4 linked regions of the Diceros bicornis minor genome follow. Each later gene encodes a partner of the first gene's protein in a complex. Links are inferred from orthologs where the notes say so. Each region holds a gene or a part of one and is shown in the gene's direction. Other genes may lie near its edges. The genes, in order: CRCP, POLR3G, POLR3K and POLR3C.

The links.
Region 2: CRCP (region 1) and POLR3G share a complex: the UniProt entries of both Homo sapiens proteins name them as parts of the RNA polymerase III complex. The link is inferred for Diceros bicornis minor from reciprocal best matches to the Homo sapiens genes CRCP and POLR3G.
Region 3: CRCP (region 1) and POLR3K share a complex: the UniProt entries of both Homo sapiens proteins name them as parts of the RNA polymerase III complex. The link is inferred for Diceros bicornis minor from reciprocal best matches to the Homo sapiens genes CRCP and POLR3K.
Region 4: CRCP (region 1) and POLR3C share a complex: the UniProt entries of both Homo sapiens proteins name them as parts of the RNA polymerase III complex. The link is inferred for Diceros bicornis minor from reciprocal best matches to the Homo sapiens genes CRCP and POLR3C.

The regions. Positions count from the first base shown.
Region 1 is NC_080765.1:19,908,546-19,916,489, reverse strand, and holds the start of CRCP (DNA-directed RNA polymerase III subunit RPC9), read left to right. Parts: upstream 1-4,931; 5' UTR 4,932-5,024; coding exon 5,025-5,032; intron 5,033-7,944. UniProt on the Homo sapiens protein: DNA-dependent RNA polymerase catalyzes the transcription of DNA into RNA using the four ribonucleoside triphosphates as substrates.
Region 2 is NC_080740.1:16,948,129-16,955,466, forward strand, and holds the start of POLR3G (DNA-directed RNA polymerase III subunit RPC7), read left to right. Parts: upstream 1-4,323; 5' UTR 4,324-4,462; intron 4,463-7,338. Other genes in the region: acyl-coenzyme A thioesterase MBLAC2, read right to left, coding at 3,282-3,735. UniProt on the Homo sapiens protein: DNA-dependent RNA polymerase catalyzes the transcription of DNA into RNA using the four ribonucleoside triphosphates as substrates.
Region 3 is NC_080765.1:48,215,652-48,223,206, forward strand, and holds the start of POLR3K (DNA-directed RNA polymerase III subunit RPC10), read left to right. Parts: upstream 1-4,553; 5' UTR 4,554-4,568; coding exon 4,569-4,679; intron 4,680-5,865; coding exon 5,866-5,953; intron 5,954-7,262; coding exon 7,263-7,390; 3' UTR 7,391-7,555. Other genes in the region: RHBDF1 (inactive rhomboid protein 1), read left to right, coding at 1-77, 256-675; SNRNP25 (U11/U12 small nuclear ribonucleoprotein 25 kDa protein), read right to left, coding at 1,787-1,844, 2,320-2,394, 2,916-3,021, 3,257-3,347, 4,162-4,203. UniProt on the Homo sapiens protein: Core component of RNA polymerase III (Pol III) which synthesizes small non-coding RNAs using the four ribonucleoside triphosphates as substrates. Can mediate Pol I proofreading of the nascent RNA transcript.
Region 4 is NC_080743.1:53,360,004-53,367,175, forward strand, and holds the start of POLR3C (DNA-directed RNA polymerase III subunit RPC3), read left to right. Parts: upstream 1-4,162; 5' UTR 4,163-4,389; intron 4,390-5,436; 5' UTR 5,437-5,456; coding exon 5,457-5,603; intron 5,604-6,135; coding exon 6,136-6,391; intron 6,392-6,501; coding exon 6,502-6,687; intron 6,688-7,172. Other genes in the region: E3 ubiquitin-protein ligase RNF115, read right to left, coding at 3,791-3,892. UniProt on the Homo sapiens protein: DNA-dependent RNA polymerase catalyzes the transcription of DNA into RNA using the four ribonucleoside triphosphates as substrates.

The DNA.
Region 1 (7,944 bases):
GAGCTCTGGGTGTGCTCAGGCATGTGTGTGCACACAATGCCTTGAGACACTTGAATCTGTCTAGGAGCCGTTTGATGGCTACTCAGCCTCCTGCAGAAAAGATGGGGGCAGAGCTGGAGAGCAGCCTTTCTTGACTGTGGACAGTGAATAAGCAGGAGGACAGTCTACACGGAACAAAGGATTTGTATGGGAGTGTACTAGTTTTCTATTGCTGCTGTAACAAATGACCACACACAACCCCACAGATTCACTATCTCACAATTCTGTAGGTTAGAAGGCCTTACTGGGCTAAAATTAAGGCTGTAGTCCTTTCTGGAGGCTCCAGTGGAGAATCTATTTCCTTGCCTTTTCCAGTTTCTAGAGGCTGCCAACATTCCTTGGCTCATGGCTCCCCTCTTCCATCTTTTTTTTTTTTTTTGTGAGGAAGATCAGCCCTGAGCTAACATCCATGTTAATCCTCCTCTTTTTGCTGAGGAAGACCAGCTCTGAACTAATATCTATTGCCAATCCTCCTCCTTTTTTTCCCCAAAACCCCAGTAGATAGTTATATGTCATAGTTGCACATCCTTCTAGCTGCTGTATGTGGGACGCGGCCTCAGCATGGCCGGAGAAATGGTGCGTCTGTGCGCGCCGGGGATCCGAACCCGGGCCGCCAGTAGTGGAGTGCGGGCACTTAACCGCTAAGCCACAGGGCCAGCCCTCCCCTCTTCCATCTTCAGAGCCAGCAACATTACATCTTTCTGACCATTCTTCCATAGTCACATCTTCTTCTGACTCTGACATCAGCTGGGAAAGAATCTCCTCTTTCAGGGACTCATGTGATTAGATTGGGTCCATCCAAATGATCTAGGACAATTTCCCCATCTCAAGGTCCATAACCGTAATCACATCTGCAAAGTCCCTTTGGCCATGTATGGTAACATATCCACAGGTTCTGGGGCATTAGAGTGTGGACATCTTTAGGGAGCCATTATTCTGTGTACTATACACAGAGACTCCAGGAAAATGCCCCTATAGGGCTGACCACTTGTTCCCGCCCCCACGTCCCTTCCTCAGCTCTGCACTGCCATGTAACAATTTCTATTACTCGAAGCCTCTAACTCAATACATGTCAACTGTTCCAAGACAAGATAGGTAATGAAGGGCTTCATGGTTTTCCCAAGAAGATGGACAGCATATCTGCAATGAGGAGAACTAGATGACATCCACATATTATCTTATACTTAAAGCTTTCTTCATTCAAATCTTATTTCCTTGCTTTGGAAATGTAGGATAATAGTTAACATTCCCCCCCACCCCCATGCTTCCCACTTGCCAGGTGGTATTCTAAGCACAACAACTCTGTAAGGTAGAGAACACTGGTATTATTGTTTTACAGATGAGTTAACCAACGTACAGAAAGGTTAAGAAACTTGTTTAAGGCCACACAGCTAGTGAGTGATAGAGCCTGGATTTAACTCAGCCTGTCTGGCTACAGAGCCCACATCTGTAACCACCACACTTGATTGCCTCATTCCTATGTGTCACCAGGAACACAACCCATGATTGGATGTCACCAAGAGTGTACAATTCCTGCTCCTGGCATAGTAAGGAAGGGATCACAACCCCACTCTATTTTGCTAGTGTTTCCTTCAGAATCTTGACCATAGGCAAAGCTTCTGTGTCCATCCTCATTACCAGCTTGGGGGGCCAGAGTTGTTCAGACAATGGATGACACCCATTTTCAGCTGAGAGCTGAGTGCTGTACAGGACTTATCTGCCTCAGAAGAGTGAAAACCTTGCCTGGCCTCTCTCCCCTGAAATTTCCACCTTGGTGCATCAAAATAACTAAGGAAGAGTCTAGTGCAGAACAGGCAGGCATCCCTAATACTGGCAGCTTCAAGTTAGGAAAGCTGCAGGCAGGCGCTGAGTGGGGACGGGTCAACAGGAGTTTCAGCCATTGACCGGCCCAGCTTTGTTGGCCGGGATATCTCATTGTGCAGGCTCCTTCTGGGCAGCCTTCCCTTGGGAGAGGGCCCCACTCCTGACTACCCGGCTGCCCCTACAGGATAGGTTAGGTGACTGCATATGGTCCCCAAAGTCCTAGGGTGTCCTCCCTTGGAGAACCCGCAGCTTAGCCATTTTATTGCGGGGCCCCGAAACGCACTAGCCTCTCTTCCTTGGAAGCCCATCCCTGAAGCCTTGACTTTGCATGCTCCTCCCCCAACCCAGCTCAAACTCCCCTGGCTTTGGGACGCCTCTCCACCTCATTAGTCATTCCCTCACCTGCTCCATCAAGTTTAAACACAGTGTATTGTAGTTATTGATATCCAGAGCTGGTTCCCCAACTAGGCTGTGAGCTGGCCAGGGCAGAAGGCGTGTATTATTCACAGTTGTATCATTGGCACTGAATGGGCCATCACTACATGTTTGCTGAGTGACTAACACGATGAGCATCTTCAGCGCTTCGTGGGGCCCGCTCTCCTCCAGGGAGGTACAGGGGACTCTCCATATGAATCAAGCCCTTGAGTCTGGGGTGGCTTTTTATTTACTTGTTGATTTTTAAGTAAATTCATTGTTTTTAAAAAAATATTTTTGTAATTTAATAACAACATGTGCATTGAAAAATCTTTTTAAAATTCTGAATGTGTGAAGTTAAATGTTAAAAATTCCCCTTCTCTTCCAATTCAATCCCCACAGGCAAACACCAGTTAAAAAAATTCTAACAGCTTTATTGATATATAATTCAGATACCATACAATTCACCCATTTAAAGTGTACAATTCAATGTTTTGTAGCATATTCACAGGGATGTGCAACCATTATCACAATCTAATTTTAGGGCATTTTTGTTTCCCCCAAAAGAAAACTTGGTATCCATTAGTTGTCAATTCCCATCACCTCCCATGCTCCTCTCCCAGCCCTAAGCAACCACTAATGTACTGCTTGTCTCTATAGGTTTGTGTATTCTTGGACATTTCATATAAATGCAATCATACAATATATGGTCTTTTGTGTCTGGCTTCTTTCACTTAGCATGTTTTTGAGGGTCATCCATGTTATAGCATGTGTCAGTACTCCATTCCTTTTTATTGCTAAATAGTATTCCATTGTATTAACATGGCACATTTTCTTTATCCAATTATCGGTCACTATCAACAATTTAATACACCTCCTGTATTTGTTCAGATTGCCTGGGTTTGAATCCCTACTGCACAAGTTCCTAGATGAGTGACCTTGGGCAAATCATAATCTCTCCAAGTCCGCCTCAGTTTCCTCAATAGCAAAATTTGAATAACAATGGAATCTATCTCATAGAGTGACACGGATGTACTGTCACAGTAATTAATATTTGTTGAGCACTTACTATGTGCCAGGCATTTATAAGGATTATCTAACAGATTTATAATTTTCAGATTAAGGAATTGAGGTTAGGAAAGGTTAAGTAGTCTCCCAAGGTCAAACAGCCTCTAGGAAAGTGATTGAGGTAAACAGGATCACAGGCTGTCTGACTGCAAAGCCTGCACCATTAACTGTCAATACCATGGAATAACAAAGTGCTTAGCAAGGACCTTGCAAAGAGAATGAGTTTAGTAAATGATAACCAATAGAACACAAAAGTATAAAAAAGCAGAAAAAAATTAGCAATTGATTCATCATCTAAAGACATCTGCCACTGTTAATATTTTGGCATATTTTCCCCCAGGCTTTAAGAAATATTTCAAACTGGGCCTGGCCAGGTGGTGCAAGCGGTTAAATGTGCGCACTTCGCTACGGCAGCCCGGGTTCGTTGGTTGGGATCCTGGCATTCACCGACACACGGCTTGTCAAGTCATGCTGTAGCAGCGTCCCATATAAAGTAGAGGAACATGGGCATGGATGTTAGCCCAGGGCCAGTCTTCCTCAGCAAAAAAAGAGGAGGATTGGCAGATGTTAGCTCAGGGCCTATCTTCCTCACAAAAAAAAAAAAATAAGAAAGAAATATTTCAAACATACCAAAAAGTCCAGAAGATAATAGGCATCAACCTCCCACCCCTATGGTTTTGAAAAGACAAAATGTAGTAGATTAGGTGGTTCTATCTTCCATACCCTTAGGTATTTTTTTTTCCTATGCATTATTTTTTCTTAGATTATTAGGGTCACACCACATCATTTTCTATCATTTAAAAATCCTATCTTGAGCATTTCCCCAGCATACCAAATATGCTACCTGATTTCTCACGGCTGAATATTATACGGTACGGCTGAAACATGATTTATCAATTCCCCATTCTTCTGCATTTAGGCGCTCTCTGAGGAACAACGTCATTACACATGCGTCGTTCTTCAACCATGTGACAATTCCCTTTGGGTAAAGTCCCAAAAGGCCGGAAGGTCAGAGACCGTGTGCTTGTCGTTCAGGCTTTTTATCCTTTTTTTGCCAAATAGCTCTCAAGAAAGAGTGGGAACAGAGAGAAGGGAGGCTGAGATTTTTTCTCACCTTTTAAAACATTTTATTCAATTATAACATACATACAGAAAGGTACACATTAAGTGTACAGCTCACTGAATTTTCAGAAACTGAACATACCCGCGTACCCAACACCCAGATCATGAAATAGAACATTTCCAGCAGCCTAGAGCCGCCTCCACTCCACCCCACCTCCTCCGTCACTTCTCTCTCAGGGCCGGGATTTTAACGCTGCAAAGGTCTGCTAACCAGATTACGTCTTTGGAAGCTTCATTTATTAATACCCTAATATACGAAATCAACGACACATGAAATAAATTCTGTCTGCAAACGCCTAACAGTCTGAGGCCCGGCTGGGCGAAGGGCACAGACGCCAGCCCACGAGCAGAGCCGGGTAGCGCGGAGGGACCCCCGCGCCAGGCTCCCGGCGTGCCGCGCGGCGATCCCGGCGTGCACCGCGGCGGTCCCCGCGCCAGGCTCCCGGCGTGCAGCGCGGCGCGCGAAGCCGGCGACTGGGAGCTCGGCGCTGAGAGGTGGCGGTGCGGTGTGGGGCTCGTTCCCTGCTGGCGGTTGGAGGCGACGAGACGGGCTCGACATGGAAGTGTAAGCAGACCGGGGCGCGTTCCCAGCTTTGTCTGACGCTTACAGCTGGGGACGGCTAGAACCCCTGGGAGCCAGAGACGTGGGCTTGGGGCGATCCCTCCTAGGGGCGTGAGGGGAGGGCGCCGGCCCAGTCTGGAAGGATCTGTGGGTCGGGGCGGCGGGGAAGAAAGGGACTCTCGCTCTGCCCCTCTGAACCTTCGGCTCCATTACACCCCCTGTGCTTGGGACATGGGCCGAGTGCTGCTAGGCCCGGCTGCCTTTCATTGTGCTTGCTCCCTCCTTCATTCATTGATTAGCGTTTTCGGGGTCACAGTGGGGAGCCCAGGCCGGTAGCCGAGGGGGGGACTTAGAAGGTATAAAGGCCGAGTCCACCCTGGAAGTATCTGGAGGAGAGACGGAGAAGCTTTACCCGGGGCAGTGGGCTCCCGGGGAGCCCTGACTCAGAAGGGGTGGTATCTGAGTTTGATGAGCAGCAGCGAGCCCTGCGAGGGGAGGGGCGGGTTTTGTGGGGAGAAGGCTTGAGCCAGGACTGGGACCGCAGAAACAGCGCGGTGTGTACGCGTGTGTAGAGGGAGTAAAAGCCGTTCTAACAATTTAACTCCACATCGTCTGTTCCATATTTGCTCATTGTACCGCGTGCCAGTGGAAGTTTTTGCAGCTGCTCTGCATGTGGGTTTTTACGTGGTTGACATGGACTTGTAGGCATACCTATTTTGTGTTCTCTTTGGCACTGATTATTTAATACTCACATTTTGCTTTATGTTCTTTTGCCTCGTGTTTTAATGGTTATGTGTACTGTTTTTTCATACTTTTTAAGAACACAGTATATATATGTAATTGAAATGAAAGCTTCATGAAAAAACACTTACCTTTGCTGTAGGCAGTACACTCTGATATTGTCTTTCCTCTTTTATTAAAGGTGAATGTTGACCCACTAAATTGATTTTGCAATCCACTAATGGGGTTTAATCTGCAACTTGAAAAACATTTGTTTGTATTACTCTAGCCCAAGCCATCATTATCAATTTTTCCCTCTTTACTAGAGCATTTCCTGTCAGCATTCAAACCTGCTTTAGTTATCCATCTTAAAAAATCCCTTGTTCCCGCATTCATGCCTGCCTATTGCTCCATTTCTGCTTTCCATCACAAGAAAACTTCTTAGAAGTGTTGTTTATCCTCTGATTCTCCCAGTCGTTCTGTTGGGCTTTCATCCTCACCAGTCTGCAGAAATCGGGCTTGTGAGGATCGCCTGAATCCTGCATCTTGTCAAATCCAAAAGTTGATTTTCTGGCACCAACTTTCTTTTGTTGTTGTTGATTGATTGGTTGTTTTATTGATTATAATAAACTTTAAGAGAATACCTTCTAATTTCAAAAATTATATTCCATTGTTTACTGACTTAAATATAATGCTTTTAGTACCACTGCAAGTTGGTTAAAAAACAATATTTTGAGATTACATTTTCCTGTAACTTAATATGTCTTTACATAGAACACTGGCTGGAAACCAGAGCAGAAAATGAACAAGAAAACTAAAGACGTGTTTAAATAACAGAAATACCATCAGTATTTATTATGGTAGATTATAGAAAGAAGGTTTAATTTTTGTGTATGCAGTTAGGCACTGACGGAGGCATTTAGACACCATTGATTATAAAGTGCATTAAATATAAATTTTGACTTCCTTCAAAGGAACAATTCAGTAAAACCTAAGTTTCTTTCTTGGAATCCATCAGTTCAGGAACATTCGTAGGTGAACACTCGTTAAGTACTAATAACAGTCTTTTATTACTTATACTCCTGCAGTAGTAACAGCAACATATTGAATTTGCATATATCACATTTTATCCAAGGACCTCAAAGTCATTGTATCAAGCAATGGGGTATTGGAAGCTCAAGATTCCATAGCATATTGTCTGCTTTCTTATGGCATGGGGTGATAGAGTCTCAACAGTGGAACTAAAATAAAAGTTCAAAAAGACAAGCCTAAAGATCTTATGGTTTGTGATTTTTTTGAATTTCCAAATTTGCCACTTGTATCCTACCATACCTACAACAATGACTATAGGTAAAAATGGTTTTTTGCTATGAAAATGTTTTTTTTTTGTAATTTTTATTTAATTTTTATTTTATTCAGGTCATATTGGTTTATAACATTGTGTAATTTCAGGTGTACATTATTATATATCAGTTTCTTTATAGACTGCATCGTGCTCACCACCAATAGTCTAGTTTTTATCTGTCATCATACATATATGCCCCTTTACTCCTTTCGCCCACCCCTCCACCCTCACTCCCTTCCCCTTTGGTAACCACTGATCTCTTCTCTTTATCCATGTGTTTATTTATCTTCCACATATGAGTGAAATCATGTGATTTTTGTCTTTCTCTGTGTGGTTTATTTCAGTTAACATAGTACGCTCAAGGTCCATCTGTGTTGTTGCAAATGGGACGATTTTGTCTTTTTTTATGGCTGGCCTCAACTTTCTTGATCTCTTAGCAGCAATTGATACAGAAGCTCTAGAGACTCTTGGCTTTGTGACATGCTCTCCTGGATTTCCTCCTACATCAAAGACTACTTTTCAGTCTCCTGTCCTGGCTCCTCCTTCCTCTCTTGCTTGGCTTCTAAATCTCGTGGCATCTTAGGGCTTGGTCCTGGGACCCTTTCTCTCCACACTCTCTCCCTTGGTCATTTTACCCATCTATCTGCTGATGATTCTCAAAAGTATATTTCTAGCCCTTTTCTCTCATCATCCATCCAGTTGTTTATACCAAAAATCTAGCCCTCTTTCCTCACGCCTAGATCCAGTCCATCAGCCAGTCCTGTCATCTCCACCTTCAGAATATATTTTGAATGTAGTTACTTTTCACCATCTCCACTGCTGACTTTGTAGTCCATCTTCTCTGGTGTGA
Region 2 (7,338 bases), on another chromosome or scaffold:
GGGGATGAAAAGGCTGCTTGAAGCTCGTGCATGCGACCTAGTGACCTAGGCTTCACTGTAGAGAGATCAAGCCAAGGATTACTCAAGGATCAGCATCTTAGTCTTTCCTCTGGGGCTAGGCAGATTTCCCAGATAAGATTCTTCCAATTTCCTACCAATTTCCTACTAAAGGCCTGGCTCTCATCCTTCTGGGAAACTAGTAGGCATACATATATATATTATTCCTCCTATTTTCCATACTGAACCCCTGAGCTCAATAGTACTTAGCATCCCTCAAACAAGAAACCCCTCTGTTTTACTCTCCCCAGAGAACAAACTAACTGGGTGGGCATTCACTTAGGAAGAAGGGTTCTGGCGTTTTAACAGCGTCTTAAATGGCTTTCAATCAACTCTACTTATTTTAGTATTCTTTCCTTTGCCCCTAAGGTACCAGCTACTGCCAATTCCTGAGCCTGCAGGAAGGTCCCTGCAATGCAAACTGGACTGGCTCTTGATTTCCCATTGCTGGCATAGGGTAAAACTGCTAACTCAGTCATCACATTTACTCTCCAGCATCTGAAACAGTTCCTCAGTCAATGTGGATTTATACTTAAAACAGAGACAAACCACGGTCCCTGTACAGCACTCTTAGCGGGGTTTTGGGCAGGAGTCAAATTAGATGTGTCTGTTCAATGTGCTACCTTTCTGGAATCTCCTTTTTGTTTTTAACCTTCTCCAATTATTCAAGTCGATCTGAAAAAACTGCTCTAATATCTTTGTGACTCTGGGCAAATTGTTTAAACATGTATAATAAGGGCCAAAATGCCTGCACTTTATATCACTTGAGTGTTGTGAAAAATAGGCAAAATGATGTGTGCCTGTTCAAGAAGAATGTGCTAGATCACGCTATGGTTTATTGCTGTCTTCTTATAGGAAGATACTACTTCACCATTAGTAGGGTGAGTTGTTTTTCCATCAAGGATGATGCACTAGATGATGCTCTCTCCCTGTCTTCTTTGTCCCTCATTTACAAATCAGCTTTTAGGTTAGTGATACAGTGCATAGATTTATGCTTCTCCATGACAGGTGATCATCAATTCACTAAATGAAATGCAATATAAACTAATGACTTCAGCCTCCTTATGTTCTAACCAAAGCAATGAAGACTTTATGTTGTTTGGGTATGCGCTGCTCATGTGTGTGTAACTGTGTATGAATTCTTAATACAAATATTTTTTATCTCTTTCCAGGCATCTGAATTATGAGAATAACAAGTTAGCAGGCCACACCATTGAGAAGAGACAGGAAATTAATATTCCTGAGAAAATAGGAAATTAGATACAACTTGACAGGTGAGGCATCTAGCTCCTAATGAAAAACAACTTTTGATTTAACACAGTACTATCACCTTCAAAGTGTTTGGTAAATATTAAGCTTTCTTTTCACACCTTCAAAGGCTTAAAGCACCACACAGGGAGCTAGCAGGCCCCTTGCAGCAACAAAATGCTGTAATTCTACCAACAACTGGGATTTAGGAAACCTGGGTTCTAGTCCCAGCTCTTTCCCAAACTGGCTACGTGCCCTCAGATATGATATTCGGGCCTGCCTGGACTCTTCATCTACAAAATAATAATTCCTATCATTCTTTCACCATTGATTTCCTATTGCCACCAGCGCAGCAAAAGTAAATAAATCAAAAGTAATTTATTCGTTTAGAAAATTTAAATATATTTTAAATACTAATGTAAACATTTTTTGGTCTGGGTGCCAGAATTAATTTAGTCTGAATACCCATCAACTGCATGGAAATCCTATCTCTAAAAGTATCAATTTTATCAACAAATACAGTAATTTTTACCTCAAATTATCAGGTAATGTAAGACTCCCATCTAAACTCATTTTTTTCCTAATCTTTAGATTTAAAATTTTAATGAAAAGACTTTTTGGGTGGGGTGTGAAGTACAGAATCTTGCTTTGTATTTTTATATCTCAAGTGATCAAGATCTCATCTGTAAGATAAACTGATTTTTGTAAAATATTTCATAATTTGTCATATTGGTTGGTCATAAAGTGAGCCTTATTGTACCGCAGCAACTGGATTTTTCTACCTTTTAGAGGAACGTTTTAATAAATTAAAGTGGCAATTAAAATGGTTTCAAGATAGAAAGGAAAGAAGGGGGTTTCGCATCCTACTCAGAATTACCATAATATATTTATGGGGTAGGATTTATGGGGTATGATCTGCATACTTTGATCTATTGTGCCTTGGTTCAAACCCTAGCTTTTGTCACTATCTTGCTCTGTGGACTCTAGGCAAGCGATTTAATTGGGGGTCAGCCACGTCACTTCAAATGTGTTGTGAGGATAAAATGAAATCAACAAAAGTATTCTAAAAAGAAAAAAAGGAAATTAATACACATATATTGCTGCTGTGGCTAATCAGCTCAATTATTTAAGCACCTATTTGGGGTTGGGAAGGTTGGGGGAGTTGGGGCCTTACTCTATTTTATTTTATTCCAATAACTTCTCTCTGATCCCCATCCTGTCTTTCACAGAGCCAAAGAGGCCCATGCTTTAGTCCACATACTTCACCCATCACCGGAAATAACCTCCTTATTAATCTTTCTCAGGCCTTGCTTTCAACCAGACCAGGTATCTCATCATGTTAAGACTCAGCCATATTCTACTTTTCATGTTCACTATCAAGCTTGCTCTCTCGTGAGGCAACGTCAAGCACAGAAACCTATCTGGAAGATAAGGATGCACGAGCAGATTGGAACCACTGCTCTCTAAAGGCTTTCTAAGCCTACAGGTGGGAATTGCTCCTTCCCGGCGGTGACCGCTGACCAAGGCGGATGAAGTCAGCAGTTCTCAAAAGCACAGAGCATGACAAGCACTCTCCGGGAGGCGTCATTCCTTAAAAGTCTGCTCGCTAGAAAACCGCCTGGAAACGTCAGACAAGTGTTCGGGAAAAGAATGGGAAATCCCTAGTCACAAGTCTCTGTAGTGTTACTACTGTACCTTACACAAGAAACTGACCAGGGGGTGGGGCCGGCTTTCATTCGAGCACGCGGCATTGCTACACTGTGCCAGAGCTGGTCTCTGGAAGGGAAGGCTGCGATAGCCTTGGCTCCCGTGGAGGGGGCTTTTACGCAGGAAAGGGAGAAAAAGAAGTGGTGTTCCTGCGAGGTGACAAAACAAGCCCCTTACAGCCACGCACGTCTGCAGCATGCATCCCTCGGCCAGTTTCGCCCCAATCCCCTCCACTAATGTGAGAGCGCGCGCCCGTGAGGGCCCATTACCATCCTGCAGGATGAGGGTGGGCTGCACCGCCTGTACTCGGAACTGCCTGGCCCTCCAGCCGGGGCTGGGCGCCCGCACCACCTCACTGTCGGACAGCCAGGTCACGGTCTCAAAGTTGTCCCCGCGAGCCAGCGCCTCGGCCTCGGCGTGGTGCACCGCCACCCGGTCGAACTGGTAGAGGCCGCCGGAGTGGTCGAAGTGCACGTGGGTGGCCACAGCCAGCAGCGGCCGGCACGCCGCGTCCTCCTTGGCCCCGCGGTCCTGCAAGAGGCCGGAGGAGTACAGGTACTCGGGGAGGCTGCGCAGCCCCAGGCCCGTGTCGATCACCACGTCCTGCTCGGAGCCGCGCACCAGCCAGATGTTGGCGCGGTTGCCCGACTCATAGAAGCGTTCCTGAATCCAGAAGATGCCGTCGCCCAGAGACTTGTGGGCGTACCACTCGAGCGCCGACATGCTGGGCAGGGGTGCAGCCGGGCGGAGTGGGTGTGGGCGTGTGTGCCCCTCGCAGGCTGTCCAGACCCGAGGCGCTGCGGCGGTGTGGAGCGGTCTGCCCGCAGCCTGGGAGGAGGCGCGGAGCCAGGAGGGGGCGGGGGATGCGGGAGGGGCGAGGGAGAACCAGGAGGAGGAAGGACGCGCGCAGACGCTGCCCGGAGCGGCCACCGCACCCTCCCGCCTGGTCTGCAGAAAACAGAGGTGCTCAGCCCGCCCCGGGCGCTGGAGCAATCGCAGCCTCTGGAGCCGCAGCAGGAGGGAGCGTTCACGCAGGGGCCACTGCAGCAGACTGGAGACACAGAAGGCGACACGGTCCCCACCTCGGGGGCCTGACTGCAGAGGCCAGGAACGAGGCGTGGGAGGCTGCAGGCCCGCCCACCAACCACGCGCCGCGATGCGCACTTTCAGCCGGCGCGGAAAGAGTCTGGTCCAGCCGGTTGGAAGACTACGGTGCCTGCCGAGGGCTAAAAAGCTCTTGGCCCAGCGGGCGGGGCCTCGCTGGGGGGTGGGCGGGGCTAACTAGTCGGGATGCGAACGCGGCTCTGAGGCCGCGTGGAGGGCGGAGCACGCTTCTCCAGAGGTGGAACCAGCAGCACCCGAGAGCCGGCGTCCTCGGTCCGCACCCGTTCTTTGCCGGCCGGCGCTTCGGCTGTGCAGTGTTGCCCAAGCCTCGAGACTTAGTGAGCAGGTAACAGAGCAAGCGATTGAGGGCCTGGGAGGAGATGGAGAGGGTAGAGGGTAATTAAAGAGGCACATGGAGAAGGTGGGGGAAGTCGGGGATGAAGATTCATTAAAGCGCTTCTGGATTGAGAGGCGTTGGGACATAGCTTTACCTCCCCTTTTCCTAGTCCCTTCAAAATCTTTTAAAGTCGTCGTTTCCAGATCTTACCTAGTCTCCACTTCTTGGGACTGTTTGCAGTGAGTGAGAAGGGCATTTGTGCTCTTACCGATGGTAGATTTTCAAATCCGATGACTAGGGTTGGTTCAGGCACGAGTCATTGCCGCAGACTTGCAGCTAAGGACAGACTATTCAGTATGTTTTCTTAACTGTTGGCACTTTACCCTGTATCGTGGGAGAGGGGTTGTTAATAAGGATTTTCTTCTCTTCTACATAATGAAATTCTGTATTTCTCCCCCCATCCTCCATTTTTTCGGTTACTTTGTCCGCTCTTGGAAGAGAGCAAAGAAAGTTGGTAGAAAGGCTCAACTAAGGAAAGGTGGAGGCAGCCGCACCTTGTGAGGACAGGAAAAGTGGATACTGACTGGGTGTGCCCCCCCCCCCCCCGCGACATAAATCACCCCCACTATTAACACCATGTCCCTGTCCCCGCCCCACCCCACCCTTCCCAGCTATTGAAACATCTATTTAGGTGTCAAAAATTCCCTTGAAGACTTAACTAACCTCCCTACTCAGCCAGGAAAAATTATAAAACACCCATGAGACAGCATTATAGAAGATAATTAGGAAAACCTTTACTGTGGCAGCTGCTAGAAAGCCTTCCTAGAAAGAGAAGTGTACTCTCCCCCCACCCCCAAAGCCTTCGGTAGGGATGCAGCGGTTCTGAATAGTTTCCTCGTCTAGTTAGAAGTTATCCAGTCACTGTTCAGGGCTATCGTTATGTGCAAGTCCCTGAGCTAGGTGATCTGTGAAGAACAGAATTGTGCCCAAAAAAAGTCATGATCTGGGTTCTCAAGAATTAAGGGAAGATAATATCTGTACACAGATATTTGCAATATAAAGCAATATGGGATCTGTACCGCAGAGGAAGTCAAAACTAGGTGCTATAAAAATACAGAGGGCAGGGATTGTTGGGGTGTGGCATTTGAGCTGTCCTCAGGACGTTCTCAGGGAAGCACAGAGCTCACTGTAGTTTGGGTATCTTTCGTCTAGGCAAAGGGGATCCACTGGAGGTGAAATGGAGTGATATCGTCAGTAGGCCATGAGCTCAGCAATAATTCATCGGGTATTCACTGGACTTTTGCCAAGCTCTGCTGAGTGATGGGGCAGGAAAAGGGGAGTAAGTCTTCAAGGAGGCCTCACACTTACAAATCCCTCTGCTTGGATCAGACTTTCCCCTGGATATCTTCCTAGTCCTTGGCATGGCTCTTTCTTTCACTTTTGTCAGGTTTGTGCTCAAATACTACAGAATACGGGAGGACTTCTTCAACCATCCTTTCCATAATAGCATCCATGTTTCCTGTTTTTTCTTTATATCACTGATCACTACCTGACACTTTCTATAAAATATATTTATATTTTCCATTTCCCATACTAGACTATGAGCTCCATGAGAGCAGAGACTTGTTTTGTTCACTGCTATATTCCCAATGTGTGAAAGATGGTCTGACACAGAGGATGCTTCATAAATACTTGATGAGTGGATAATTGAGGAGCTTACTGGGCAGACAGACAAGAACTGACAATTACAACATGATTTTAAAAAGGGTAATAAAAGCAATGTAGTACTAGGGAAACAACGAGAAGGGAGAGGCCTACCTCCATGTAAGCTGGAGGAAATGGTCACAGACAAGTGTCATTTGCATAGTATCTTAAATAATGCTGGGGATGCTCAGGTGGAAGGCACCCCAGGCAGAAGTAACGCTATAGGCATGAGCTGGTGTAGCAGACTTGAGAGTGGCTAGAGTGTGGGATACATGGGGCGAGAGGCAGAAAGTTAGACTTGAAAGCTCTGCCAGTTAAGGAGAGTGGCACATCAAGGTTTGTGTTCTAGAAAGATGACCGGAGAGTGGCTTGAAAGGGGGAGTCTGGCCGTGGGAAATTTATTTGTTCTGTATTAGAATTCTAGGCGAGAGATGGTGAAGGCCTGAACTGAAGCAGAGGTGAAGGAAGGTGAACATGTGAGAGAGGACACAGAGCTGATAGTCTTCTGCTGTTAGATGAGGGGATTGAGGGAGATGGAGAGGAGGTCAGCATGACTACCAGGTTCTTATTGGGGCAACTTAGGTGTCATTCATTAGGAAAGATACTGTGACCTGGCTTTCAGTGCGTCCTCTAGTTTCCTTGCCTGCTTACGTCTGTTTGTACATTTATTCACCTAGCTAATATGTGCAAAAGACTGTGTGAGATGTGGAGAAAAATACATTTAAGCACAATCATAATTCATAAAAGGTTAGAACTAGGAGAAGTTTCAGAGGTTAGCTCAGCCTTTGCCACGGGGTTGTTTTTATAGTTGATTAGAATGGGCTTTTGCATTTCAGCTCATGGATGGTTGAACTACACTCATCAAGCCATCTCAAAACAATTCTGAATAGGAATTTTCAGGAGGCATCCCAAAATGGAAAGATGATGCTTCTGATTTTACATTTTTAAAACCAGTCAATTTTGCCATTACTAATTCACTTCACTGTAAAGATTAAACACATCCACGGGATTAAAAAACTATTCAACTAGCCTAGAAATGTATTTCAGGCAGCGTAATGGAGAAAGGACAATGGAGAAAGATATCCTGAGGCTTTACCCCAGTCCACTCGTTGTTAGCAATTAACTGCGTGTCTTCAGGTAGTCAGCTAACCTCTTAGGGCCTCACTTTCCTCTTCTATAAA
Region 3 (7,555 bases), about 28 Mb from region 1:
GCATAGCCATCATCTACCTGCTGAGTGGCGTCACCGGTAACCTGGCCAGTGCCATCTTCCTGCCGTACCGGGCAGAGGTAAAGCTGCCCCCAGGGTGGGGAGCCCCGTATGCACCTACTGCCCAGCCTAGGAGCCTCTCCATTGGGCTCCTCAGTCCTGATGTCTCTGGGCCACGAGAACTGGGACGGGGACAAGGTTCTGGGTCTGAAGGGGCCTGCTCAGCCCCACCAGCTCACAGATGCCCACTGCCCCCAGGTGGGCCCAGCCGGCTCGCAGTTCGGCATCCTGGCCTGCCTCTTCGTGGAGCTCTTCCAGAGCTGGCAGATCCTGGCCCGGCCCTGGCGCGCCTTCTTCAAGCTGTTGGCCGTGGTGCTCTTCCTCTTCGCCTTCGGGCTGCTGCCCTGGATCGACAACTTTGCACACATCTCCGGCTTCGTCAGTGGCCTCTTCCTCTCCTTTGCCTTCCTGCCCTACATCAGCTTCGGCAGGTTTGACCTGTACCGCAAGCGCTGCCAGATCATCGTCTTCCAGCTGGTTTTCCTGGGCCTCCTGGCTGGCCTGGTGGTCCTCTTCTATTTCTACCCCGTCCGCTGCGAGTGGTGTGAGTTCCTCACCTGCATCCCCTTCACTGACAAGTTCTGTGAGAAGTACGAGCTGGACGCTCAGCTCCACTGAGCTGGCTGGGGCACTGGGGCCACGTGCTCCAGCAGGCTGGAGCCTCACAGGTCGTGGGCCTCCGCCTGCGCATCGTGGGGGCCTGTTCCTGGACACAGCTCTCTGTGCCTTGGTCACTGCTGTTGAACCTCGCGCACTTCTGGGCATTTATTACACTACTTCCCCTGGTTACCTGCTAACTAGTCTCTTGACGACCACCCCATGTGGCCAATAAATGGACCGGGAGCGTTTTAGCTGCCACTAACGTGACCAAGAGCTGCCTCCTCCTTTCTAGTTTCCGGCTGGGGGTTATGGAGGGAGATCCCACTCACAGTTCCCCAGAACAGGGCACTAAGTGTCAAATACACCTCCCCATAAAGTCCCTCAGCCAGGGGAACCCCCCTTGTGCCGCTTCCTCAAAGTAACTGGCAGGCGACAATGGGACAGGGCCCCGTGGATGCAATTTCCCCACACACCGAGAAGTGCCCCCACCCCAACCCTCCCTGCCCGGCCAGCAGCTCCCACTGCAGTCCCAGGCTGCCTCCCTTTCCAGGAGCCAGTGACAGCCCTGCTGCAGGTGAGCCCTGCACGAGGCCGGGCGGGGGGGGGCCCTCCACAGCTGTGCTCTTGGCCGCGGGCCTGTTTCCCCACAAGCAGCGTCAGAAAGCCCCCACTCTGCTACTTCCTCTTGCTGTCCCAATGCAGGAGCAGGGTCGTGTGGTGTGGGGTGTGGCATCTGAGAGCTCGGGCCTCGCCACCACCGTTCTCCGCCCTGGCTCCCCTCTGTGATGGGGCAGTGCCAGTTCCTCCTGCCCCAGGTACTGTGGCTTTTGGACTTTTTAAACTAAGAAACAAACAGATTTATTCTGTACACAGGGCCAGGCCCACAGCCCTGTGGGATTGGCCACGTGGTCAGGGTGTTTCGGCCCAGGGAGGTCAAGCTCAGGCCATGAGCACTGGCTCACCCGGTCCTAGTCCCGAGAGCCCAGGGTTCATGCTGACAGTTCCAGTTGGGCAGCTGGGGTGAGGCCACTTCGACACTCTTCTGTGAGAAAGGGACAGTGGCTCCAGACTTCTTCCTGCTGGGGAAGAGCTCAGCCACCAGCACACAGAGTCGTCCTTGTCTGGAGGTTCACTTTTGCCTCAGCTTTTTGATGAAGGACACCTCATCCCGATTCCGGATACCATAACTGAAAGAGAAGAAAAGCTGTCAGCTGTCTGATCCACAGAGGGGACGTTTGTGACCCCTCCCCTGAAGCCTGTGAGGGACCAAGAAAGAAGAGGTGGGAAGCATGTGGCATCCAGGAAGGCAAGGAGGTGGTAGTGGCTGTCCTTCCACAGACCCACACTGTACCAGCGGGCAGCCTTTCAACTCCATGGACACCCTTATCTCCCTCCTGCTGGCTCTGCAGCCCTGAACCGCCACTGTGAGAAGCCGAGGCCCCTCACCCCTGCTCTCCCTCTCCTTCTGCTGGCAGGGAGGCCCCGGAAGCTCCCTGCAGGAGGGTGTCAGTCCAGCCAGGGACTCTCCTTGTCTCACACACTCCCCAGGGACTGATTTATGATCCCTCCTTCCTGAGGGGCCCAGGCTTCTGGCCGAGCATGTGGAACTACAGGCAACAGTCCAGATGCCTCCCTGCAGCTCAGGATGTGGCCTGAACTCACTCTCGGAGCTTCTTCCTGTCCTCTGTGAGCTTCTCTCCTGCAGAGATCAGATGGTACGTCCTCCACACGTAGGACCTGCAAGATGGGGACTCAGGTAAGCCGTGAGCAGGGTGAGCTGGACAGCTGGGAGGCCAAAGCTGTGTGTGAGAAAGCCTCCAGGCGCTCGGCTCTGTAGGGACCAGGGCAGCCACAAGGGGGCACTGCTCTCAAAACGCTGTGTGGGGTGCCTGGCAGCCAAACATTCTGCTAATGAAACGGGAGGACTGACAGCACCCAGGTGAGGAGGGGTGGGGCTGCTGACAGCTGCACCATCCACAGCTAGGGAGACCACTTCCAAACACACTGGAAACGCCCCAGGTGTCCCCAAGTGAAGACCCACCCAGCTGCCTGTGCAGTGTGATATGGATGAGGAGCATCTGAGGCAGGACTCCCAGGCCCAGGAGCACCCACCCGCCCAACGGCTCGGGGGGAGCCCATCGCTCCAGTTGGTACACTGTAGTAGAGCCAGGTGGTTAAGAGCGCACATCCGGCAGGTGTGCATGTGGAGGCCCACATCAGCCCCCAGGAGGGCTGCAGGGACCCGCTGCTCCACTCACCAGCTGATGTGCTGAATGCCTCCTTCACGCTCCTGCCTGAGCTGCACGTATCTCTGGATGGCCTTCTTCAGATCCAGCACCGTGGCGTTCTGTACGACAACCACGGCTGCAACCGGGGGACACAAACGGGAAAAGATCCACAGTGGGAACACAGCTACAGCCTCAGATGACAGGAGAGGACTCAGAGGCCCGACTAAGGCTGAAATCCGGGCAGGGTGGGCTTGCGGCTGCTCCAACACCCCCCGGGCATGGCCCTTGCGTTTCCCACTGAGCAGCCCTGCTAACCTCTTGCCCCTGTGAAGCTCAGACGGCGCTGCCCGGAGGGAGGGGGCGGCACTTACGCATGACTTCTCCGTCCATCTTGCACACTCGGACTGTCATTGCTTGGCCGTACTCCAGTGCTATCTGGGAACTGACCTCTTCCAGAGTAACCTGGAAAAGACCAAGGGTGGATGGGGGAGCCCTGGCTCTCTACCGCCCCGAACAACAACCAAGAAAAACAAGCTGACAGTGTCCAAAAAGTGGGGCCACGCTTTACAAATACAAGAAAGGGACAAGGTTCTTACACGTTTCCCCACTTGTCACTCCACTCTCATGTTCCATCCACACTTTCTGTTTAATGCCTAAAGTGGACAGAGGCTCGGGAGGACGCAGCATAGACACAGACCAGGGGAACGAACCAACGTGAGGATCCACCCCGGGATCCTCTACCCAGAGGCTGGACAGTCCAGTATGAGAGCCCTGGATCGCCAGGATCCAGGCCAGGGCCTCGGGACAAGGCTGAGGCAGGTGTGCAGAATTTACCGGGGCGCCAAAAACATGGTAACGATAAACATTTCAGTGCAACTTTCAAGGAAATAGAAGTTAACTTAAAAACCCCATGATGGGCAAAGTGACAAAGACTTAAACGCAGGACGGTGCCAAACCATATTGAAACTTGAGAAGAGAAACCAGTAATACTGGTCTGGTTTTCATTTACAATTTTATTACTTTGTTTACCATCGGCTTTCCTACACTACCTTTGAGTTTTAAAAATGTCGTAGTAAAACATCCCGTCACCTGACCCCATGTATACCGGGTTTTTGGCGCCCCTCTGAATTCTCGCTCGCCCCACCCTGGGCCCGGCCCGGGTTAAGACCCCCCGCTGACGCCCAGAGGCGCCTTCCTGAGGCCTCCGCGCCGCAGCCCCAGCGGCACGTCGGGGGGCTGTCCACGCCCCGCCGCCCGCCCCCCGGCCCGCGCGCACCTGGATCGGGAGGTCGCAGAGCAGCGGGTCCTGCACCACCATGGCAAGACCCTCCTGGAACACGTCCACCGCCTCGGAGTGCGGCAGCGCCTCCTCTTCGTCCTCATCTTCCTCCGGCCCCGCCGCCGCCACCTCCTCCTCCAGGGCGCCCCGCCGCCGCCGCACCCGCCCGCACCGCGGGTCAGCGCGACGGAGGGGCGCGCGCGGGGACCGCAACCACAGCCCAGCCCGCAGCGTCCAGGGACCAGGCGGCCTGCCGCAGTGCTCGCTGGGAGCGCGAAATCGGCGCGTCCATTGGCGGGCCGAGGGGCGGGGCGGCCGCCAGGACCAATGAGAGCTCGAGGCGGGCCTGCGTCGGCGGGGCGCGGCGCGGGCGTCTGCTGGGAGCCGGCGGCTGGGCAGCCGCCATGCTGCTCTTCTGCCCGGGTTGCGGGAACGGGCTGATCGTGGAGGAGGGGCAGCGCTGTCACCGCTTCGCCTGCAATACCTGCCCCTACGTGCACAACGTCACCCGCAAGGTGCGCCCGCCGGCGTCCCCTGCGTCCTCCCTGCTCGCCCCGGGGTACCGTCGGGACCTCCCCCGGGCTCCCCGCGCTGTGTCCGCGGCAACGGCCGCAGTGACCTTGTGACCGTGAGTCGGATCAGGGCCGTCCTGTGCTCCGAGACCCGCGGCGGGTGCCCAGCGCGCCGGGGGGAAAGCTGAGGTTCTCCCGGGACCCCCAGCCTGCTCCTCTGATTTCGCGTCCTAATGCGTCCTCTTGACCCCCAGCGCCGCACGGAGGATCCCCCTCGTGCACGGGCACCGCCGTCAGGGCCTTTGCGCGTGTTTTCTGCCCCGTTCACCCTTCCCCGTGTCTTTAGTTAAATGATTACTTAAAATTGCAATCTCTCTCCGTATTTTATCCTCCTTCCCTGTTTTGTTTTTGCCATAGGCGTCATTGCGTTGTAATATAGTTTATATTTATGGGCGTTGTTTATTAATACTGGGACATAAACGGTAGGAAGGCAGGATTTTTCTGTCTCGTTTCCTCATGTTTTAGTCTGAACAATAGAATGGGACCTAGAATGTTCAGGACGAATGAAGCACAGTGTATTATTTATGCTTGTTATTTTCACTTGACAGTACACCTTTTTAGAAGTAGAGCACGTTGGTGATACCTCATTCTTAATGTTTGCATACCACTCCATGGGTCAGCTGCGAGGTGGAAGTTTAGAGTTTGAAAATATGGCAAGAGTGAACTCTTATGTAACCCTGAAATTTCAAGGATGTCGGGGAAAACTTGGGCAAGAAGCCAAGTGTGACCTGCTCTGAAAGCTCTCTGCCTCGGGGGGCGCTGGGCCACCCGGCCAAGTGGTGCTCTTTGACTTCAGTTGTATTTGTCTCTCTCATCTGGGGTTATCAAGTATCTTAGAGGTGTGGGGGAGGAGGAGGGTCACACCTAAGCCAATGTTTTCTTCCTGCTCTGGTGCTTCATCCAGCCCTGGCAGAGATCTTCTCTGACTGTCTCTTCTCTTGGGATCATCCCAATCGTGGATCCTCTAAATTCCAGTGGAGCGTCCTGCTCTGTGATAGCAGGAACTTTGTTTTCGTTCAGTATCGCTCCAGTCTGTGCTGAAGGAAGGAAGTGTGGGGAGACACTTGAGGTCGATATAGTTTGGTGTCCCAGGTTTGTGCTGTTCACTCACTCAGAGGCTGTTTGTTAGGTAACAAGTCGGAAGTACCCGAAGCTGAAGGAAGTGGATGATGTGCTTGGTGGAGCAGCTGCCTGGGAGAATGTCGACTCTACTGCAGGTGAGAGGGAAAATTTTTCTGTTACTGAGCTTTTTTTAAATATGAGGCTGCTGACTGTGCCACTCCACGTCAGGATCCGTGATATACTTAGATGAAGTGGGCTTCTAAAAATAAAAAGTGTGTTTGTTTTCTTTTTTAATAATTTATTGGTTACACACACAGTCTTGGCACAAGCCTTGAGTCATGCAGGCCTGAGTTAGAGCCTTGGGGTGACCTCGATGGGTGTCCCTTGACTTCTCTGGGGCTAATCTATACTCACAGATTATAAGAGCATAAAGTGAGTTAATACAGTGTTTGGCATATAACGGGTACTCAACAGGTGGTAACTATGATGATAGCAACAATGACAGGAGTAGTAAAAATCAGAGTCTAAGGAAGAAATTTGGTTTTTTTGTTCTAGCATAGATTTTTAAAGAGTTAATACCAGGGAACGTTAAACTGCAGTCTCAGTAAAATAAGTGTTTATCTCAAGTCTTGATTCGTTTCTGTTAGAGACAGATGTGACCAAGGAAGGAAGAGGAGAGCCCTAGATACAACTTGTACTGAGAGGAGAAGAGCTAACTCGTGATTAATGCTGTCTTTTTCCCTCATAGAAGAATATCCAAATCTGCTATGTTAAAAATTTAGGTTTGGCAGAATTTGTCATTAAAAGATGAATTATGTACCTAATATTGAAAATGTTGTTTGAGACTGTTTGAAGTTGTTTACCTCAAGAGCAGGGTCAGGTTCTCAAAGTGAAATCACTTTGAAAGTAAAGGTGTGCCTTGGGGCACTCTGAAAAGGTGTGGATGTGTGGAGGGATCTTGATAAGAACAGTCTGAGAAACTCCTGCCAGAATGGATTCCTAAATACAAGGGGAAGCGGATTGGTCATCTGTCGGGAGCTCCTCTGAGAAGACAAGAGGGCGTGTGCATTGCCCAGGTGAAGGAGATGCACTTATTAGGGGCATCTGCAGGGCATGGATACTGTAATGCATATCGCGCCATAAGTCACCTTTCGTGTTATGTTTCTAACCAGTCTTCAATCAGATTTGAGAAGAAAAGTGGGCCCCAGGGAGGGTAGGAGGAGTGTTTTCAAGGTCACAGTTCTCCTCTATTCTCTCAGTGTGAGAGCATAGTGAGAAGGATACCACTGTTTGTGGCCTTAAATTTTGGTACAAGGTATCCTGGGCAAGGGATGCCAGATGAGCAAGGGGGCGGGGTCTTTGCCCCCTTTCAAGTAACACCTGCTTCTAATAGATCTGTTGGTCACAAGCATCCTTTTTTTTTTTTTTTAATGTGGGTCAATTGTTTGCTTTTCTCGTTGCCAGAGCCATGTCCCAAATGTGAGCATCCTCGTGCCTATTTCATGCAGCTTCAGACCCGCTCTGCAGACGAGCCAATGACCACCTTCTACAAGTGCTGCAATGCTCAGTGTGGACACCGCTGGAGGGACTAGGGCCAAACTGGTCCAGCTGCATCAGTGTCTGCTTACCCTGTTGCAGGGTGGATTCCTATCCAAGAGTGTGAACTGCGTGTCCTGAGGGTCTTTGCTGGTGTGGGGGAAAGCTACCCCTTTCAGGATGGCTGGCCAGGATGTCAGGAGATGCAGCCCGTCTGCCAG
Region 4 (7,172 bases), on another chromosome or scaffold:
TATCAATACCAAAAGTAGTTTACTCTGCATATGATTTATCTCACCTGCTTAATGATGATTCTATCAGACTCCATCTCATAAGGTAATATTCCCTGGCCTTGATGTAAAAGAGGACAGAATGACATCTTTACATTCCATAACACAGCCCTCTGTGGTACTGCCCAGTCATTCATCAATGGAGCACAGTAACTGTGTCAGTCTTGACTTCACAGTGTCTCTCAACAGTATAGCCAGGTGAGGCAAAAGCTTCTGCTGTGTTATGAAAATAATTTTAAGTTACTTAAGTATTTCTTCTATCATTTGATGACCAAAAAATACACAATGCCATTTTACCTAATCATATATAAACTTGAAACTCTGGGGTTTCAGACCATATAATCAAAATCTCTTATTTTAAAATTCAAGTTTAGTACTCACTAAATTTTACTAAAATTAATTTCACTGTAAATAACAAAACACTCCCAATAAGAGAAAGAAATTTCTAAATCAATATTCACTTCTAGAATGGAGACTCTTTTTTGATGCCTAACAGATAACAGTACCACTGAATACTATATTTTCATTTTAAAATTCCATTCACGGTTTTCCCTCATTTCTTAATATCGTCTTTCTAAATGAAACGTTTTTCTCTTATCTGGGAGGATTCATACCAAAGACACACAAAGCTAAGATGGATAAATCAGGATTAGCAATAAGGAGTGTTATTTCACCAAATTAATTCAAACGAATGTGGCTTAACTTAACAGCATAAGGCATATTTCAATCTCTCTCAGAAATTATAGCCAAAACTATTTCTTCTAATTCAGACACGAAAGTTAACTGGGTCTGTGAATCTTTCAGAGTAGTAGGACTGACAAGATAAATGATAAACAAAAACCTAAGAGCAGTTTCAGGGCTGAACATTGGGTAAACTATTGTTATTGCCTGTGCACACTTCCAAATGTATCAAGAAGTGCTGTATCCTAGCGATTGGGAAACGGAGAAAAAGTAAGAGTGGTAAAAACCTTGCAACCTGGTCCCACTGAACACAATTATGACTCTGCTATGTGGTGACTAAATTGGCAAGAGATAAGACGGCTCTGAAGCAGTCGTTCCCACTGATTGAGTGAAGAAACCTACCGAGTAATAGCTCATTGAAAGCTGATGTAAAACTCCATACGCAGCCTCACGTGTTCAGGGAGGACAGCGCTCGTGGATGATGGTTCTTGTGATCCATTAAGACAAAACAAAGAAAAACTTCATTCACAATAAGCTGAGTCTAGCTATCCTCAGAAAGACATCCAGCTTTCCCATAACATTTGTCCAGTTGAAGAAACAATGCATGCCTAATGTATACTGAGTACTTACAGTGAGGGAACCTTAAGTTTATATAAAAAATTATTTTCAAAAAACTTTTCAATGTTCTCCTATATATATGAAAATCATACTACTGACTTACCAGTGTTTGAGTTGGTTTTTCAGTAGCAGAGACAGATTTGTACTGAACCAGCCACTTACTGACCTGGTCATTCTTACAACCAACATTTTCAAGATGACAGTCTGGGGTTAAGGATATACAAATGGCCATGAAACAAGATGCAACTCACTGGGTCATCTACAAATCAAAACTAAACCCCTGACCTCATTGCACCTTTTCCTAAAAATGCATAACAACAATGATTTACTAAATATTTCTCCCTTCTTCCTCAACTCACTCTTCCTTTTCTACCTCAGTCTATGCTATCCTCCTCAATCTGAATTCTGCCTATCCTGTAGAACTCAATTTAAATCCCATCTCTCACTCTTTCCCTCACCTCACCAATGTTACCATATCCCCCTCTCTCTGAATTTGAAAGCACATATTACCCATCCTCACTCACCTTACACTGTTACTTTTTCCATGATTGTCTTGTCTTTCCAACAAAATTGTGAGCTCCTTAAGGGCAGGAACCACATATTCCTCAGTTATTGCCTTCAGAATATCCAGTACAGAACCTTGTATGTATGTGTAAATATTCAATTACATTTAATTGTGTTAGGCCTTAGTTTACAAATCAGACATTACAGATAATAAATCAGAGTAAAAACATCAATAGCCTCTCCTCCGGGCATCAAACTAAGGCTTAGAAAAACATCCAAAAAGTCTTTCAAATTATCACTGTTCAAGAGCACTCTGAAGTGAGGACTTGAGATGGTAAAAAGAAAAGATATAATAAGTTGTGGAAAGTTAGACTGTTTTCTCACTCTTTAAGGCAAATAGTGAACAGCGACTTAAAGATCAGTAGAGCTACGGATACAATGTTCAACAAGGCATCACATTCAACAACATGTCACTGGTCACACACACACTAGCTCAATTCCAGACTCCCTTTCTGTGGTAAGAGAGTTCTGGAGGCTCGGATGTCCACTGGAAAAAAACAAAGCACCTGCTCTTCCCAGCACTGAAACATGGCAAAAAGCACATACACACACCGCCAAATCAGCAAGCAAAACTAGCCTGTAGATGAAACTATGACTTTGAAGTTGGCGGTAGGGCAAACAGAAAGAAAAGAAAATACTATAAAAGCCTGAAAAAGCACAACTTTTAGGTGAAGAGGCTACAATATTCTTCAGGCACTTATTCACAAGACTCTTTGTGTTTCTAAGAAATAAGACATACAGACACACTTTAGTAGACTTTCTCATACTGTACCTGAGACACTATAAGTCTAGAGGTAAGTTGTTATGAAGCCACCCTGTCAAGACTGAACCTGATTACTTCTAAGGAAAAAAACAACCATAACTAATTCTAAAGATGGGTGGCCAAAGGTAGGATTACCATTCACCCCAGTGGGTCTCCCTGCAGTAGTTACAACCCGACCCAAAACAGGGCCTGGGTTTGGGGTGCTGTAGCTGGCTAGCATCCTGCAGAAGCGCTTTCTTCACAACCATAGCACTACCCCTCTAGGTGCTAACAGTCTGGCAGAAACTGGTGAAAACCAATTTTATGTCAGAGGATGCAGTCCCCAGCATTCCGTCCTGGATCTTTCTATTAAATGAAGAGACAAAGCGGCGCAGGGGGGCGGGTAAGGGAGGTGGTGCCAAAGACACTGGCAGCAGGACAACAAAAATAACCAAGTTGAAACAATATGTCCTGCCTTCTTCCTAAAGCCATTTCCTTCAATAGTGATAGGGAGGCAGGCAGTCTGCAAGTCATTACACACGGCTGTTTTCACTTTCACAAGAACCCTGGAAACCAGTGAAGAGCAAAATCCCCCTCTCTGCCCCACAGTTACCTTCCAACCCTCTCTCTTTCGTGCTTCCTTCCTTCCTTCCTTCACTAGAGACAACCGAACAGGGACAATCCTCATCAATCCGCTATTTTGCTTCACTGAGGATGGGGGAGGGGGAGGATCTGGTGAAGTAGAAAAGCAAAGAGGAAGGTGAGAAGCAACAGCGGAAAGAGTATCGAGTAGGAGAAAGAGAGGTCATAGTGAGAAGACAAGGTGAAGAAGAGTGCAAGAAAACTGAGGGGAGAGTTGTCAGAGGAGAACTAGCTAAGAAAGACAGAAAGATGGGGGGGGCAGGTAACGAGGGGAGAGGGAGTGAAGGGCAGGTCAAGCATCCGAGGGGGAAAAAAGGCCGGACGGGAGTTATGGAGCCAGGGCCGGGACGCCCAGGGTTGGGGGCCAGCGACGGGAGACCGTGAGCAGCAGGTATTGGACAGACCGATGTCAGGGGAATCAGGGGAGTGCGGGGATCTTAAGACCCTGTGGACATCGGGCCGAGGAACTCACGCCGATGCCGAGCGCAGAGGACACGGGGCTCTTACCGGTAGTTTGGGGCTGACCTCGCCCTTGCAAAAGTGGCAGAAAAACCGGTGCGCGGCGACAGCGGCGCCTGCGCCCGCCCCGGCCGCCGAAGCCTCCGCCATTTTTCTCTTCCGCCGCGGCTGTCCGAGAGGGCAGCGGCCCGTCCCTCGCCAAGCCACTACCACCCGGCTGCGGTCGCCGCCTCTGCCGCCGCCGCCGCTTCCTCAGTGCGGCCGGCCGCTCCAGAGCCCGCCTCGGTCACGTGAGTCTGCCGAGCCCAGAGAGGCGACGGCGTCGACTGCGACCCCGAGGCCCGCCTCCCAGCACCAAAGAGGCGCAGGAAGGAGAGTCCGCCCGCTGCGCCCGCCCGCCGGCTCCTCAAACAGCTCCTCGCCGGTCCTCCAGCCTTCCAGCGAGAAGAAAGAAAGAGTGTCCCCGGAAACCACCGAAACTCTGAGGGTAGAGCGGCACACGTTTTTCCCTTTTCCCCGTCCTCCTCGGTGTCGATTCTCCTGCAAGAAAGGGCCGTGGGCTCCCCCTCTGCCCCGGCGGCTAGCAGGAGCCACATGAAACCGCCGGCCGTGGGGAATCGGCGGCGTTAGATTGCATTGACCCAGAGGTTAGTGGAAACTGCTGTCTGAACCAAGGGACCAAGTCCAGAACGGGAACCTGCGTGAAGGGAGTGAAGAGCCAGGAGTCAAGCTCCTTGAAAATCCTTTTCGAGGACGGCAGAGGGTCTAGGGATGCTTCCCCAAAGGCATGTGGTTGGCCTACTGAGGCTGAGAGGCAAAGACTTGGCTTCTGAGGAATTGAGAGAAACAAATGAACAAACCAATGTTTGGTAGCACTTGGGATGATAAGGAAGTAATTATATAGCCAACTACGTCTGTTTGTGTCTACTTTGTCAAGGAGTAGAAATTTCAAAATTAAATACTGCCCTGCAAACAACATACTTCATCTCCTATTTGAAACACCCTGTTGAGAAGCTCTCCTTTACCTCTTAATTTCTTTTTCTATGTTGTCATGTCCTTTATGGACTGGGAATGACACTGCCTGTTCACTCCCAATGGGCTGTGAACAGTGGCCTTAATTCTTCCAAACAATGAAGTATAGAATCTAAAGTCTGTGACAGATAGCAGATCCATCTACACCCAACCTTTAAAAAAAAATAGAGGAAAAAAATTAAAATCACACATAATTCCATAAAGATAAATTTGATGTATAGTCTTCCAGGCTTTTTTCTATACGTACATGTTTTTCTTTTCTTTTTTCACAATAATTGAATTTTCCTCGACATTTTGCTTTGTAACCTGCTTCCTTAGTGAACAATTTTCTATGCTAATACATACTATATTTCATTTTAAATGTTGGCATAGTATTCCATCATATGAGTATCCCATAATGGATTGAATTAATCCCTTATTGCTAGACATTAGGTTGTTTCCAGTATATCAGAATTCTAAAGAGAACTACAGTGACATCTTTTTATTATTTGTTTGGAACGATGTATTCAAAACAAAATTATTAGGTCGAAGTTATCCAAGATTTTAAGGCTTTTGATCTGTAATGTCAAATTGCCCTTGAGAAAGTACATGAATTTACACTCAGTAGCTCTACTCCCAACATAAAAAAAAACTTTCCATCATACAGTCCTTTTTGTTTCCAGCTCTCAGACTCCTCAGTACAATGACTCAAGCAGAAATTAAACTGTGTTCTTTGTTGCTGCAAGAGCATTTTGGAGAGATTGTAGAAAAAATTGGAGTCCACCTAATCAGAACTGGCAGCCAGCCACTAAGAGTAATTGCCCATGACACAGGAACATCACTGGATCAGGTATGTTTGGATGACATTAATTTGCTTTCATTAATTTCTTTTATCTACCTTTGAATATTGTTACTTCCCACCCCACAAAATGGAAGAGGGAGAAAGCCTGCCCTGGGATCAGAACAGTGTTATTTGCGGGGAAAGAGGATGAGATGTAGGCCCCAAGGTTCTGCTTCTCAAACTTCCTGGTTCATCATGGCTTCTTAGGCAAATCTTTGCTCTTCCTATGCCATACCTCATTTATTCATAATGAGTCTGTTAATCTCAGTACTACTTTTAAGGAATGAGAATAATAAAGGGAAAGTACATTGTACTTTGGAAGATGAAGATCAGAGGAAACATGAGCATCGTAGCGAGGAATCTTCCTGATTTCTTCTATGGACATGTGATTCTTATTAGCTCTTTCAATGGAGGGAGGGAAGAAGCACAGAGATTCTTATCTAGCCATCTCCTGGTGCTGAGTAAACTGTTGGACAAAATTGCCTGCAATAATGAGCGGTGGCTTCAGATCTTTTCCCTCTTTCTTTTGGGTCCTATCTAGGTCAAAAAAGCTCTTTGTGTCCTCATCCAACATAACCTGGTGATATATCAAGTGCACAAACGTGGTGTGGTGGAGTATGAAGCCCAATGCAGCCGGGTGTTGCGAATGCTTCGGTATCCCCGGTACATCTATACTGCTAAAACACTATACAGTGACACTGGGGAGCTAATTGTTGAGGAGCTGCTGTTGAATGGCAAAATGACAATGTCAGCTGTTGTGAAGAAAGTGGCAGACCGGCTCACAGAGACCATGGAGGGTCAGTACTGTATCCACTGCTGTTAGCAAAAGCATAGATTGGCTGGCTGCAGGAGTAGACCCTCAGCTGTCTTAGGCCATCTCACCTGCCTTTTTCCTCCTGTTGTACAGATGGCAAGACCATGGACTATGCTGAGGTGTCAAACACATTTGTGCGACTAGCAGACACACACTTCGTGCAGCGTTGTCCCTTGGTGCCTGCCACTGAGAATTCAGACTCTGGGCCACCACCACCTGCCCCCACTCTTGTCATCAGTGAAAAGGACATGTACCTGGTTCCTAAACTGAGCTTGATAGGTAAGGAATTTTGACCCCTGGACCGTGACTTGCCCTAATTGTTGATTCTTCATCAATGATTGTTAAATGAATGAATCAATCAATTGGGCAGTTACCAAGGATTTATTCTGTGCCAGGTACTGTGGTGTAAAATGATAAAAAAAACTCATAGTCTCTACCCTTATGGTACTTAAGTCTAGTATAGGAGACTTAGATTAATCAAATAAACCAGATAGATATATAACTAACAAACTTTGATAAGTACTATGAAGGAAAACTGTGAGGTATTATGAAAATATATAACGGGACCAGCTTTATCTGGGGATTTCGGGCACATGCTTCTTTGAGAAAGTGGCATTTGAGTTAAGATTTGAAGCAGAAGTAGGAGCCAACCAGTGAGGTAAAGTATGAAGGAGTACAGAGGATAAACATTTTTGGCAAAGGCAAGAGTATATAGTGAGAAAAATATAGGATATTTTAGGAAGTAAAAGAAGGTCAGTATAGTT